Nothobranchius furzeri: one gene and its partner. Each later gene encodes a partner of the first gene's protein in a complex. Links are inferred from orthologs where the notes say so. Each region holds a gene or a part of one and is shown in the gene's direction. Other genes may lie near its edges. The genes, in order: paxip1 and h2ax.

Evidence for each region.
Region 2: the proteins of paxip1 (region 1) and h2ax are in contact, whole or in part, in a crystal structure (PDB 3SQD), measured with the Homo sapiens proteins. The link is inferred for Nothobranchius furzeri from reciprocal best matches to the Homo sapiens genes PAXIP1 and H2AX. Residues at the interface, in NP_031375.3 of Homo sapiens: Phe871, Thr872, Gly873, Phe874, Pro876, Lys907, Thr909, Arg910, Thr911, Val912, Lys913, Pro986, Glu1050, Leu1053; in NP_002096.1 of Homo sapiens: Gln138, Ser140, Gln141, Glu142, Tyr143.

Annotation. Positions count from the first base shown.
Region 1 is NC_091751.1:66,110,256-66,117,160, forward strand, and holds part of paxip1 (PAX-interacting protein 1), read left to right. Parts: intron 1-1,144; coding exon 1,145-1,220; intron 1,221-2,856; coding exon 2,857-3,372; intron 3,373-3,869; coding exon 3,870-3,979; intron 3,980-6,620; coding exon 6,621-6,905.
Region 2 is NC_091750.1:47,425,646-47,431,966, forward strand, and holds h2ax (histone H2AX), read left to right. Parts: upstream 1-3,326; 5' UTR 3,327-3,349; coding exon 3,350-3,856; 3' UTR 3,857-4,278; downstream 4,279-6,321. Other genes in the region: phospholipid transfer protein C2CD2L, read left to right, coding at 1-106, 520-733, 1,012-1,265. UniProt on the Homo sapiens protein: Variant histone H2A which replaces conventional H2A in a subset of nucleosomes. Nucleosomes wrap and compact DNA into chromatin, limiting DNA accessibility to the cellular machineries which require DNA as a template.

The DNA of each region.
Region 1 (6,905 bases):
TACAGCAGCAAAGCTACACCAAAGCGCTGCACAAGCTAAAACAAATCAAGATACGACAGATCAACAATAAAAACCTAAAATAAGATGAGCACACAACAGTCACAATCTGTAATAAAAACTGTTAAAAACTGTTAAGATGCTCAAGTCAGCCTGCATTAAAAGCCAAATCAAAAAAATGTGTCTTAAGAAGGGATTTAAAATGTTCTAGATTCTGTGTGGTCCTGATGTTGAGAGGTAGCTTGTTCCACAGTTTGGGCCCAACCACAGAGAACGCTCTGTCGCCGCGAGTCTTGTGGCGGGTTTTTGGAACTGTTAAAAGAGCTTGGGAGCTGGACCTCATGGTTCTGGCAGGGACGTAAGCGGACAGCAGCTCAGAGATGTAAACTGGGGCCAGGCCATGAAGGGATTTAAAAGCAAAAAGTAAAATTTTAAAGTGGATCCTGTAAGAGACAGGAAGCCAATGGAGAGAGGCCAGAACCGGGGTTATGTGATCCCGCTTGCTGGTTCCAGTCAGCAAGCGGACCGCTGCAAAAATAGACTCAAAACATAATGATGGCGTACCCTCACTTCTGGGGCGCGTCCAAAATGTCGCACTTTGCTTCCGGTTAAAATGAACTGATCTGCTATAACAGTGGCTAGCAGTATATATGCGTTACTTTGGGCCGTAATCACTAATGTAATGGGCCATTCCCATCTGTACCGGGTCGGCCCGGGCCGGGTAGCCCCAGTCGGCCCCAGCCTGGCCCGGTTGATTCCACACATCCTTGTCTTAAGCCCATGTGGGCTGATTCTACCCACCAATCAGAGGCTTGCTCTAATGGAAGGTGTGAATTTGCTGTCAGCAGTGGGCGTGTTGGTCCTGGTCGGCCTGAAGCAGACCCCCTCGAGAAGAGGGCTGAGAATGAGCCTTGGTTGGCCCGGAAAAATACCAGGCCACCCAGATATGTAAACAACCTACGCTACCCGGCCCGGGCCGACCCGGTACAGATGGGAACGGCCCATTAGTTGAGTTGTGAGTTGCTATACATTTTTCTGTCTCCAGATGGCGCCCTCTGATTAAAAACTGTGGACTTTTAAAAACTTTCAGCTCCTCTCTTTAATGTGATTTTCTCATTTCTGATGGTCTTTGTTGTTGTGCTTTCAGGCGAAGTTTGAGTGTGCCCTGAAACACTCGGGCATCAAAATAGTTACCCCAGATTGGATCACAGACTCTGTTAAAGGTACGTCACTTTTATGGCAAAGACAATAATACTGAGAAGGAATCGTGATTATTGTGATTTTTATTTGTGTGTTTAGACAAACTCCACCCTCTTTTAGGTCCAGAGTTTTATTAACAGGACTGATGTGGTCTTCATCTGGCTCTAAACGGTTCTGGTCAAACCTCAAGTGTAGAAAAACACCCAACAATCAGTAATTATTAAACAGGCACAACGTAAGAAAAACTGCTAGAGAAAAACCCAGTCCATTTGGCGGTCAAATAGCAGCAGAAACTCTTGAGTATTATCGATTTTCTTTCGTGTGGCTCTGGAGCTGTTCTGGTCCTGACTCTGTTAGCATCCCGTCGTCGACAGGTTCTGGTCCAGACATTCACTGGATCATTGCAGAACCTTGATTCTTTTAGGCCCTGTCCACACGTAGCCGGGGATCTGCCAAAACGTAGATATTTTTCTACGTTTTGGCCTGTCATCCACACCAAAACTGAGTTTTTTCACACGAAAACGGATCTTTTTAAAAACTCCGGCCAAAGTGAAGATCTGCGTTTTCTCCGTTTTGGGTGTCTGCGTGTGGACGGACAAAACCGGAGTTTTAAGGTCCGCAACGTCACTTTCCGCGACAAAAAAATGCTGACATCACGTGTGCGACCTGTGTTTACACTAGCCGACAGCATGGATGCCCTCAGAGCTGCGCTCGCTTTATCAATTGTCCAAGCGCTTTTTGCTTGTTTGTTTTTGCAAGCGGGATTACTGCTCCTTACGGAAGACCACAGACGAAGGACGAGGTTAGGAACGGGGGAAGTACTGCCGCCTACAGGTCTGGCATGTCTTTAACAACGTATTTATCCGGGTACGTGTGGACAGTTTTTTTTTTTTTAACGAGGTGGTGTGGATGCAAGTTTTTGGAGGGGCGGATATTCGTTTTTAAAAAACCCGGCTACGTGTGGACTAGGCCTTATTTGCAAGACGTTTTTCTGTAGATCTGCTGTGTTTGGATCATGGTTCTGTTTTATGACCCGGTTCGGTCCAAGCCTCATTTGTTAGTCAGATGGACTCACGTTAGAATCTTTGGTTCCCGGAGGTTTTCATGGTGGACTGGTGTGGCTGCTCGATTATGATGATGATCACGAATATTTTGACAGAAATTGAGATCTCGATTCTTTAAGACAATTTTTAAATTAATGTTGATTTTATTTATTTGTTTGTTTGTTAATTTATATATTCAGTCTAAAATGCTCAGGGCACAATCAGGACAAAAATAAGTAAGAAAAAGAAACAAGATAATCACAAATAAAACTCCTAATTCCCAGTATGAAAGAGCCAGTATACTTGCTCATAGTTTATGACGCAACGGGCCGAGGTTTAACTTACCCAGTACACGCCCAACCAGTATCTTGCAAGTATTGACTAACTCATTACAGTGCATTTATAATATAAATACAAACACAAACATATATGTTTTAGTGAAGTTCACGAAATGTTGCATAATAATTGTTTAGTCCTGTCCAGCGGTGCAGTAGCAACGTGTCGCTCAGAGAGGAGTCGTTATTTATCTGCATGAGGAACTTATCTATTTCTACCTTATTTATAAACTATTTATTTACAGGCTAGCTAATTTTTATGTCATGTATTTTCTTCACAGATAAAACTAAGAAAGATGAGACCCTTTATCACCCCAGACTCACCTACGTGGAGCCTGAGGAAGAGGAGGAGAGCGAGGCAGAGTCCTACGACTTACACTCACAGTCAAATGGAAGCTACAGCCCTCGGCGATCTAGAGCGTCCAGCGGGGGCTCTTCAGGCGAGGAGTCTAGTCCTCGCAGAAGACCTGGACCCAAACGACTTAACTCTATCTCACCAACGTCCCCCCGAAAACCAGAGCGCCTAGAGCGAATGTTTGATGACTCTGATGATGAGTCCTCCACAGAGAAGGAGGGTACCAACTTGAACTGGACCCCAGCCGAAGTGGTCACTCCAACTGTTCCCACTGGCATGGCCAGACGGCGAGGCGGGCCTCCTGGCAGCAAGGATCCGGTGTCCTGCACAGGCAGTGGGCTGATAAACCTGTGTGCTACAGGGACGCCTGTTCCAGGTGGCGGTGGTGCCATGCCGGCAGAGGCGCGCTCTGCTGCTGCCGCCATCAGTCACTCCTCACAAGGTCAGTAAGAACCACTCCAGCCTTCTGTCACCGTCACTTTCACAGGGCTTAGGTTTGTTAGACTGTGAGTGTCTGTGGATACGCAGGACTGGCGTTTGGAAAACACTTAAGCTAAGGTGTGTGTGTGTGTGCGTGTGTGTGTGTGTGCGCGCGTGAGTGCGTGCGTGCGTGCGTGCGCGCGCGCGTGCGTGTGTGTGTGTGTGTGTGCGCGCGTGCGTGCGTGCGCGTGTGCGTGCGCGCGTGTGTGCGCAACAGAGGTGCAGTTTGGCAGCATAGGGTTTTTACACAGTAATTCTTTATGTTCCAGCATCTTGAATTCTTTTAGATTCTGGTTGTATCTATTCATATATAAATAAAGGTATAACATGGTATTCATGGCCCATATGTATGACAACCACTTCCGTACTCTGCTGAGTGAGCCATAACGAGGACTTCAGCCTTGGAATTAGCTCCTCACATGCCAACCTGCTGATAAAGATTCCCCCTGCCTGTTTTAGGTGTGTCCGTTACAGATGGCATCCCTGGATGGAATCAAACTATTCGAACCCTTCGTAACATAACCAACAGCTCCGACATGCAGCCAGCCGGCCGACCTGCTGTAGCACACGTAAGATGTCACCTTCCCGTCACACATGTGCTGCTGTGCTCTTATTTTCACACATTGTTTGTGTTTGACCAACTTAAGGTATTTCTCTGGAGATGCTGTGTTCATTAGGTCATTTGCTCACAATGACCCACACAATGCAGAAGTGTCTCAGCCCTGTGTTGGAGTGGGTTCGGCTGACCACCCTGAGCCGGAAGCATCACAGGATAAATCAAAGACCTGATTCATGATTCTCCGTCTGCGTCAGTGCGGAGACACGCAACGCCATTATCCGTCCTTGAGTAGGGCTCCGGCAGGCACGCAAGTACGTACGGAGTCGAGCCCACTTTTTTAAACATCCGTCGAACATCAGCGCTTTGGGCTTCCTGACAGGGTTGTGGAAGGCGCTTTATAAATAAAGCTTTGATTGATTGATTGATTGATTGATTGAACGAGACAGATTATGCAAGCTTGTGATTGGTCAGGACGCCGCTGTTGTTTACAGCGCCACCATTGCAAAGAGAGCCGAGGATAACTAGCGGCAGACACGGAGAAGCTTGAAGAATACCTCGCGAAAAAACTCTAAAAATATGAACGTTTCATCCTCCCGTGACTGGAGGAGTGAAAAGATGCGCAGCAAGCGTTTTATTTGTGGACGGAAATGACAGGAAACGTGGGTTTAGAGGTGGGGAGCGCATGAAGCGGTGGAAGAATGAGAGACAAATATGTCCGTGTTAAAAGTCTCTTATATACACAAAAAACACAATATAAACACACGATCTTGGACCGATACGTGACAGGATACCACAGAACAGTGCTACGCCCTCTGTTGTCCTGCCGGGCAATTGCTTTGCAACACTCTCCAGGAGACGGAGAAGTAAAAGAGCAAAATGCTTCCATCAGTCCATGCGTGTCTGTCCCTCGCGGAGCTGACGGAGAAGCATAAACCAGGCCTTAGTTTTGCGAACCCCGTTCACAACTAAAGGTGTTTTTCCAGGAGCACTACTCAGAGTAACTCAGACCGATGCGGGTCGGCCTGTCCACTGTTCTCAAGGGCACGATTCGGTACTTTCCCTCTACTTTCTCCTCTACTTTTAGTCCCTACGCCATTGACGTACCTGGCAAGGCTGAGTCGGGCCGGCTTGTGATTCTGGTCACTGATTGGCTAGGGGGCGGAGTCACTGGTTGCCCCGGAGTTTTGTGTTTCACTGCCTGCAGCCATTTCCTGGTTCAGAGTCTGACAAAAATCCATAAAACTGAGCAAAATGTCCAGCAACACCACCATTTTTCAACTGAGTTGTGTTTCTGTGGGGCACACAGGTTACCTTACGCTGTTCAGTAATCCCTCGCTACTTCGCGGTTCGTTCATCGCGGATTCGCTGCTTCGCGGATTTTTTCTTTGGAGCATTTTTCAGGGGGAATTCGCAGATTCGCGGTATTTTTCACTGATTCGCGGTATTTTTCTATGCGAAATATCAAGAAATTCTTGTTTTTTTTTTTCATCAATTTCATCATAAAATGCACTTTTTGTAATAAAACTAAAAAAAACAAGTAAAAAAAATTTTTTTCTTGAGTTTTACCCACAAAAAGAGAATGTGATCATACGATAATTCAATATAGTACTGTATGTCAGACAGGGCGGCTGGATTCGGGAGCTGAGCTTGTAGGGAGCGTGGTTTCACAGACGCGGAAGTGATAGCGTCGGTGAAACGCCGGCTGATCTAGGAAGCCCCCGAGCGTTCGAGCGTCAACGAAGTGACACGGAAATGCCGGGCTTTCCAGAAGTAAGTACGATAACTTACTATGAGCTGATAGTTCGTTGGATTGATCGGTAGGTTGGAAACTCTGATCATGAATCTGAAGAAACGATGACTGAGTGGTGAGCTGGAAAGGCGACTTCCGTTTATAGCCGCGGTTTGTGACGTAGGTGCGACGTGGAGGGAATCCCTGCGAGGGGCATGCTGGGAGTCCCTACTTCGCAGATTTTCACCTATCGCGGCCAGGTCTGGAACGCATCTACCGCGATAAACGAGGGATTACTGTTCACTGATCCGTTTGTGTGATTTTGTCTAGAGCTGAGGAAAATAATCAAATAATCGATGCATTGCGATGCGGACATAAACGATTCTGCGCAGATGTTCACTCCGATTTTCTTATTTTTACTTCCAGGCTCCACCATAATGCCAATTAAAAATAGCTAATAGCTTTGTATCAGCTACCAGCACAGTAAACAGCTAGAACTACAAATCTGTTAGCAGCAGAGGGCTACAGACTGCTGTTCCATGTGAAGTTGGTCAAGTTTCTGGTTTCAGAATCATCGAAACCAGATTAAAAGCAACAGCCTAAAGCGTTACAAGTCTCTAGTGTCGCTTTAAGACATCAAAGTTAGAAGTCAGAAGAAGCAGATTTTTAATGGTCAGATTTAAAATAAGACATCCATGTTAGTTATTTCTCATTTCTTACATCCTATCAGCTGTTTTTCAGGTTGTGAACATAGATAAAGCAATTCTTCAACTCAGATGTCCTTTATTACACGTTCCTCCGTAAAGTTACGGGAGCAGAAACTGCACACAGTTACCGGTCAGGGTAGTAAAGTCCTTTAACCTTCCACAGAAGATTGTAGTCTTTCTTTAGCTAAACGTGTGTTCTTCCTCACTTTTTCCAGATAATGCCGAACCTGACCAGTAGTCAGACAAAGCCTTTGGAGCAGATGAACCCAAACCATGCTCAGACCCCTAACAGTAACAACCCTCTGTTCAACCAGACCAAAGTGGCTGCACAGACCCTCACAACGGAGAGGCAGCATCAGCTCATGCAGCAGCCACACCAACCTGCCCAACAGCATCAGCAGGTACCACAGCATCCCATGATGCACCTGCAGCAGCACGATATGATGCAGCTTCAGCAGCAACAGCCACAGGTTGCGCAACAGGGTTTCCCACAGTTGCCT
Region 2 (6,321 bases), on another chromosome or scaffold:
TCCCGTCGCGGAGACGGCCATTCGGCAGCTGACAGAGTCGGCGTCCAAAACAGCAAGGAAGACCCCAACAAAACGGAGCACACTAATCATATCCGGAGTGTCAAAGGTCAGAGGACGCTGTTCCTTCCAGAATTACACATGAAACATCTCTACCTTTTAGCGATGAGCCGTTATGATTCTTTGTAGCCCTTTGAGATGTTGGAAGTGAAGTCTGATAAGGATATAAAATACTCACATGGACGCAGGCGAGAGGAGTGTGATCTAAATTTAGTCTCGCATCACAGCGCCCTACTACACTAGTAGAACGAGTCTACTGACCTGATTGTTGGAAGAAAATTTGTAGAAACCCCGTGTGTGTCTGTGTGTGTGTGTGTGAAGTTGGTGCCCTTGACACAGAAGCCACTGGAAGCGTCTGCTTTTATTAGTAAAACTAAAGAAACTGATTATCATGAGAGCAGACCTTAAACAAGCTTCCTGTCTTCATACATAATAAATGATTTGATGTTTGTTGCATATCAGGTTCCACTCACTGAGGATCACTGTGCGTTGTCAAGCGGCTACGCAGCATCCATGGATGCAGCCATGCACGGCAACCATTACAGGGGAGGTCATCACCAGGACCCGGATGAAACCACTCCCTCTGAGGTGTCGGAGCGTCCGTCTGTGGACGATGTAGAGTCTGATACTGGTTCTGCTGGTGCCTTGGAAACCCGCAGCCTGAAGGATCATAAAGGTAATAATGTTTGCTCATTGTTGACATAGAGCAGGAATTAAAAACTCCATGCAGATGTTTGCTAAATGTATTAATTTAAATAGATTTATTTTGCATATTGTTTTTTGTCAATAAAGCATAATTTCAAAGTGTCACTACAAACTGAACAGCGTTACATAACTTCTAAGGATCACTGTGCTGATGCTGCCCCCTGGTGGTTTTCACAATGATTGCTTTACATTGGATAAATGGTGATGTCATATAATCAGTAGATAAAGTGATGTACCTGCTTTCTGCAGTGGGCTTTCTCCAGAGCGGCTCGAAGCTTTTGTTTCGTAGAAAGCATCGAGAGAAGGAGCCTTGCCTCAGCCAGTCCCACGAGGACATCTCCAACATTGGCAACAACTTCGCTGCTCCAGCTGCAAGCAGCATCCGTAAAAAGTCTGGCAGCTTCTCGCGGCGTCTCATCAAACGCTTCTCCTTACGCTCGTCTGGCAAGTCAAAAGGCAAAGCTGCTTCTACGAACGGAGGAGCAAGTTCAGTGGAGAACTGATCGATATCACGAAGGTCGTTGTAGCTCAAAAGGAGCTGCTGGAATCGCTGAACACACACTGTGGGCTGTCACCCACACTTCTAAGGATGCCGCTGGGAGGGATCCTGTCTAGAAACAAGGAATTGCACCTTCAACACAGAAGTCCTGTGACAGCAATGCTGGATCTCAAATGTGATGATGAACTCTTTTTGTTTGTTTGAGGAGACAAAATCGTGCTGCTTGGTGAGAAGGAAGTCACTACGATGAAACACTCCTAACACACACTAGAGGGTTTGATCAGAATCGGTGGTGGATATACTCAGACTAATGATGTAAATGCACTTTGGACTGATGCTTTATTTGTTTTTTTACAGCACATGTAAAATTTTGTTGGGTGTAAAATGATAATTTATTATTCTGTGTGATTTATAAACCATATTATTTATTTCATCAACCCAAAACAAGTCATCCTCGCTGCATTGCACTGTAAAATAGTGACGTTGGCATTCTTTTCTATGCAAATTTAATTTTGAAGACCTTTAAGTAAGTTAATATAACTTTCTCTGTTAAAATGTGTTGTTTATTTGTGATTACTTAAAAATTACTTTTAAAATTCATGTTTAATCGCATAAAAAGCAGAGAAGATGGTGTATTTATCGTAATTTTGTGTGATAATTATTTTCTGTGGAATATCATAACTATGGTTTGATTTTGATAGTTCAGTCAGCAGGCATCTCGTGCTGGGCAATAAGCTTAATCTGTAAAAAATAAAAAATAAAAATAAAGAAAGACTATCAACTTTAAAAATAAACATGTCGGTAAACGATTTACAATGATCAGGTATAGCTGAGTTGCAGCAGCTCAGTGCTTCACTAAGAAAACATATTTTACAACAAACAGTCACACATTTGATTAATTTATATTACACAAACAGCAAAATGTTGTATTTAGGAGAATTATTGTCATAAACATATTTAATTCAATCCACTTGGACTGTCAGGGTTCAGCTCAGGCAATTAGAACCAAGTTTAAGAGTTTTTTATACGTGGAACTGCTCTCAGGGCTGGAAAAAAAATATTAACAACTAGACACACAAAATGATAATTGCTGCAGCAATCAGAACCAATTGTAAAACTGTACATATGATTTTTTTTCTCTTATAAAAACCTCATTTGAAATAACTGCAATAATTTTGGGACCTCATAACAACCAAAATCAATTATTCAATTACTGTGTTTTTAAATAAATATTTAATCTGATTAAATATTATCAAATGGACATGCCAAACATTAAGCCAGTACTGTATGGACAATACTGTCAAACTAATTAAAAATGCAGAACAGATCAAAACCACTCTCCTGCCTGAAAGCACACATACATATACATGTAGTGATATGTGAATGTAATTTGAAAAAGTGGCTGTAAAATTCAAGATGTGAGGCCCCAGTTATATTTTGAAAATGTAATTTATTGCAAATAAATTATTTTTCAACCCTAATGTTGATTGTGCACTTAGTTAATATGGTCTTGTTTTTGTAAAAGGTATATATTTTTACCAGTAAAATGGTTATTTGCTGAGCTGCCTAGGATTAGCTTCGTCTCAGTGGGGGAGGATGGTGGAATTTTCCATGTCTTGCTGGCCCTCCCTCACACAGTTTGTGCAGTGTAAGCTTACTTCAAGCACATTTTGCGCATTTTAATAAATTGTCCTCATGTATAATTGTGATACATGTGTCACCACATTTCGATCTTGGTCAAAAACCCTGACAACATTATTCAATACTTTACTGTATCAATACTCATTAAATCGCTTGAAATGTTCACTTTTCGTTCGGTAACGCGCCAAAACGTTTAAAGCTGGAGGGAAGACCGTCTATTGGTCTTCCTTCTGACACGTGACCCGCGTGAAACTGGGTGAACAAATAAACAACCAATTACCTTTGTCTATTGGTCAGACTCCTCGATGATTGGTGTAGAGCCAGAGCAGCCAAACCAATAGTTACTGGCTTCCTGGAACGTTTGATCTCCTAAAGCCAAACAAATGAGAGCTTCTCTCTCTAGCATCCAATAGTAGTTTGGGGCGGGACTAACGTGGAGGCTTATATATGGCTCGGCGAGCCTTTTTTCTTTCTACTTTGCGATTTTCTGCATTGAAATCATATTCGTGGAAGAGATCTTCAACAATGTCTGGAAGAGGTAAAACCGGTGCTAAGGCCCGCGCCAAGGCGAAGACCCGCAGCTCCCGCGCCGGTCTGCAGTTCCCTGTGGGCCGTGTTCACCGTCTCCTCCGCAAGGGAAACTATGCTGAGAGAGTGGGCGCCGGAGCTCCTGTTTACCTGGCTGCGGTCCTCGAGTATCTCACCGCCGAGATCCTGGAGCTGGCTGGCAACGCCGCTCGGGACAACAAGAAGACCCGAATCATTCCTCGCCACCTTCAGCTGGCTGTCCGTAACGACGAGGAGCTGAACAAACTGCTCGGTGGCGTGACCATCGCTCAGGGAGGCGTGTTGCCTAACATCCAGGCCGTCCTCCTGCCCAAGAAGGCCGGCCAGGCAGCACCCAGCTCCGGCAAGGCGGGAAAGAAGGCGTCCTCTCAGTCTCAGGAGTATTAGCTTCACGGCTAACCACAATGAACCCAAAGGCCCTTTTAAGGGCCAACCACCGACCGAAAGGGCAACTTTTCTAGTTTATCAATGTCGCTCAAAGCATATTTTGTTTGGGTTATTGAAGGCTTGTGTTAAGGTAATTTCTTTCAGGCTAGATCCTTTGCTAAGAAACAAGATTAGGCTAAATTTCCCCAGTTAGCCTGAAATGTCACTTGAAAATCTTCATCCTGAGTTTATTTTTCATCCTTGAATGTTATTTAAAGTAGCAACTCTTCTGCAACTGACCAGATCCAATGCTAGCTGCACACACTGGCAACTAAACATTTGTTATGCATTGCACTCAGGTTCTCAGGGCTGCTGTATGTTTTCATCATGTGAAACGCCTGTTCACAACAAAACGGTTTCATTAAAAGTTCTGCAAGACAACATCTGTCACCTGGAAACGTGTTTGTGTGGTGGTGAAGTCTCAAATGAAATGTACTAACGGCTGTCTATTCAAGCAGCTCCAGGTGTTTCCTTATTGCACATGGAGAAAAACACGCGAGCAGATAGTGTTAACATTCATGGCTTCCTCTGTGGTTTCTTTTACACGTTTTTCAGTTCTTGTCCCTGTACCACTGACTCAACTTACTGGACTGAGGGGTGATGAGCAGTCCGATAAAAACTAACTTCAGAATCCCTGCAGAAAAAATAATAGTACTTGCAAAGTAGTAAATTGCCTGTATTTGTATAGCCCTTTTACCCCAACCCCCCCCACACACACACACACACACACACACACAGTCATTCACCCATGCACGCACATTCACGCTGGTGGTGATGGAGATCCGGTGTAGCTACAGCTGCCCTAGGGAACACTGGCAGAGGCGAGGCCTGTTGTACACTGGTTCCTCCGACCACCACCAGACAAGGTGGGTTAGTCGTCTTGCCCGTGGACACAACAGCAGCATTCTCTGACAGCAAGGGTCAAACCTACAACCTTCTGATTACTGGACATCCCACTCTACCTCCTGAGCTGCTGCTGCGTGTCCAAATCATCACTTTCAAACATTAAAAGAAAAATCTGGAAGCTGTGTATGAAGACATGAGGAGTGTTATGTTTGCTGAGGTGAAGGTGGGGATGTTGTTCACTGGTTTTACCACCAGAGGTTGACTGCTTCCTGTGAGATCTGCACGTGCTTCATTCTTCCCCATGTCTTCTTCCATACTCTTACTCCACATGAAAAGTCTACGACAGATGTGTGAAAGCTTCATCGTGTCCACACAGCACATCTGACAGCAATAGTTTATACGTAGGTGTCCCAACAGATGTGGTTAATTCAGTTTACCTGAATTCATGCACCTTTCAGCCGGAGGGTCTGGTCCAGATTTCATTTTTGGTGATGGTGTTTGACGATGAATGACAGCAAAATCTGAGACATTTCCATTTGCTTTGGCTGTTTTATTGATGGCAAAAGCAGCAAACTGAACCAATTACCCGGGCCTTGACAACGTGTCCAACACCAACATCCGGCCTCAGAAAGCCAGATGGTTAACCCAGACCTTAAATTCACCGCTCTGCCTGCTTTCAGCTGTTTGTGGCTAAAGGGTTCATGTGGAAGCAGCATCCAGGACAAACCAAATTTAGTCAAACTTACATTCTGTAAAATGTGCTTCTGGGGAAATCTAGAGATCTAGTGTTTTTTAGTGATAAACACAGCTGTGTTTCGACTTAAACGGGGAAAGGAATGAAAAGTGGGAAGAGAAGGAGGAAAAAAGCTGTGGAGAGGGTTGGACCTGGCAGGGCGATGCACCAACACATTCACTTTGAAAGCAACTCTGCAGGCGTGCAGAGGGAACGTTACGATTCCATCCCGGAGACAACCGGGGGAATTTTCTCATGAAGTTTTGGGAGCGTGCCTTGCCTTGTGTTTTTAATTTTGGAGGGAATCCATCCATGGAAAAGAAAATGTTCTTTGCCAGCTTTGGTAATTAGAAACAGAGCATTTGTGTGTGCTGTGGAGAGATACAACAGAAACATTGTTTATGCAGATCTAACATGACCCAGTTCTGATTTTCTCCCAGCGGACTTACTTTGATACGGGAGCAGGTGGAAGTCACCTGGTCAGATTTGTGAAGGATGCTTTTCTTTTTGCGTGAGAGCGATGGCTGCCTGTGGAGCTTAGGCGTCTAGCAATGTGATTTGGTGTTTGCCTGGAGGGAGTGTGAGTTGCGCATGAACCAGGGTGAGTGTGTTTTTAACTTTCTAAAGAAGAGAAACACATTCTTGTGTTACCTGTGGCTAGATGTGACAGAGGGATGAGTGGGCTCAATGGAAGATGCTGAATCTTTTCATCTTTGAGTTATTCGGAAATCAGTTACTATCTTCTGGGCTTCTCTGCTTAGGCTACTGCCCCCGCAACCCCACTCCGGACAAGCAGCTGAAAACGGATGGATGGATGCTACTATCCTTTCTCCTACTAAAAGATCTC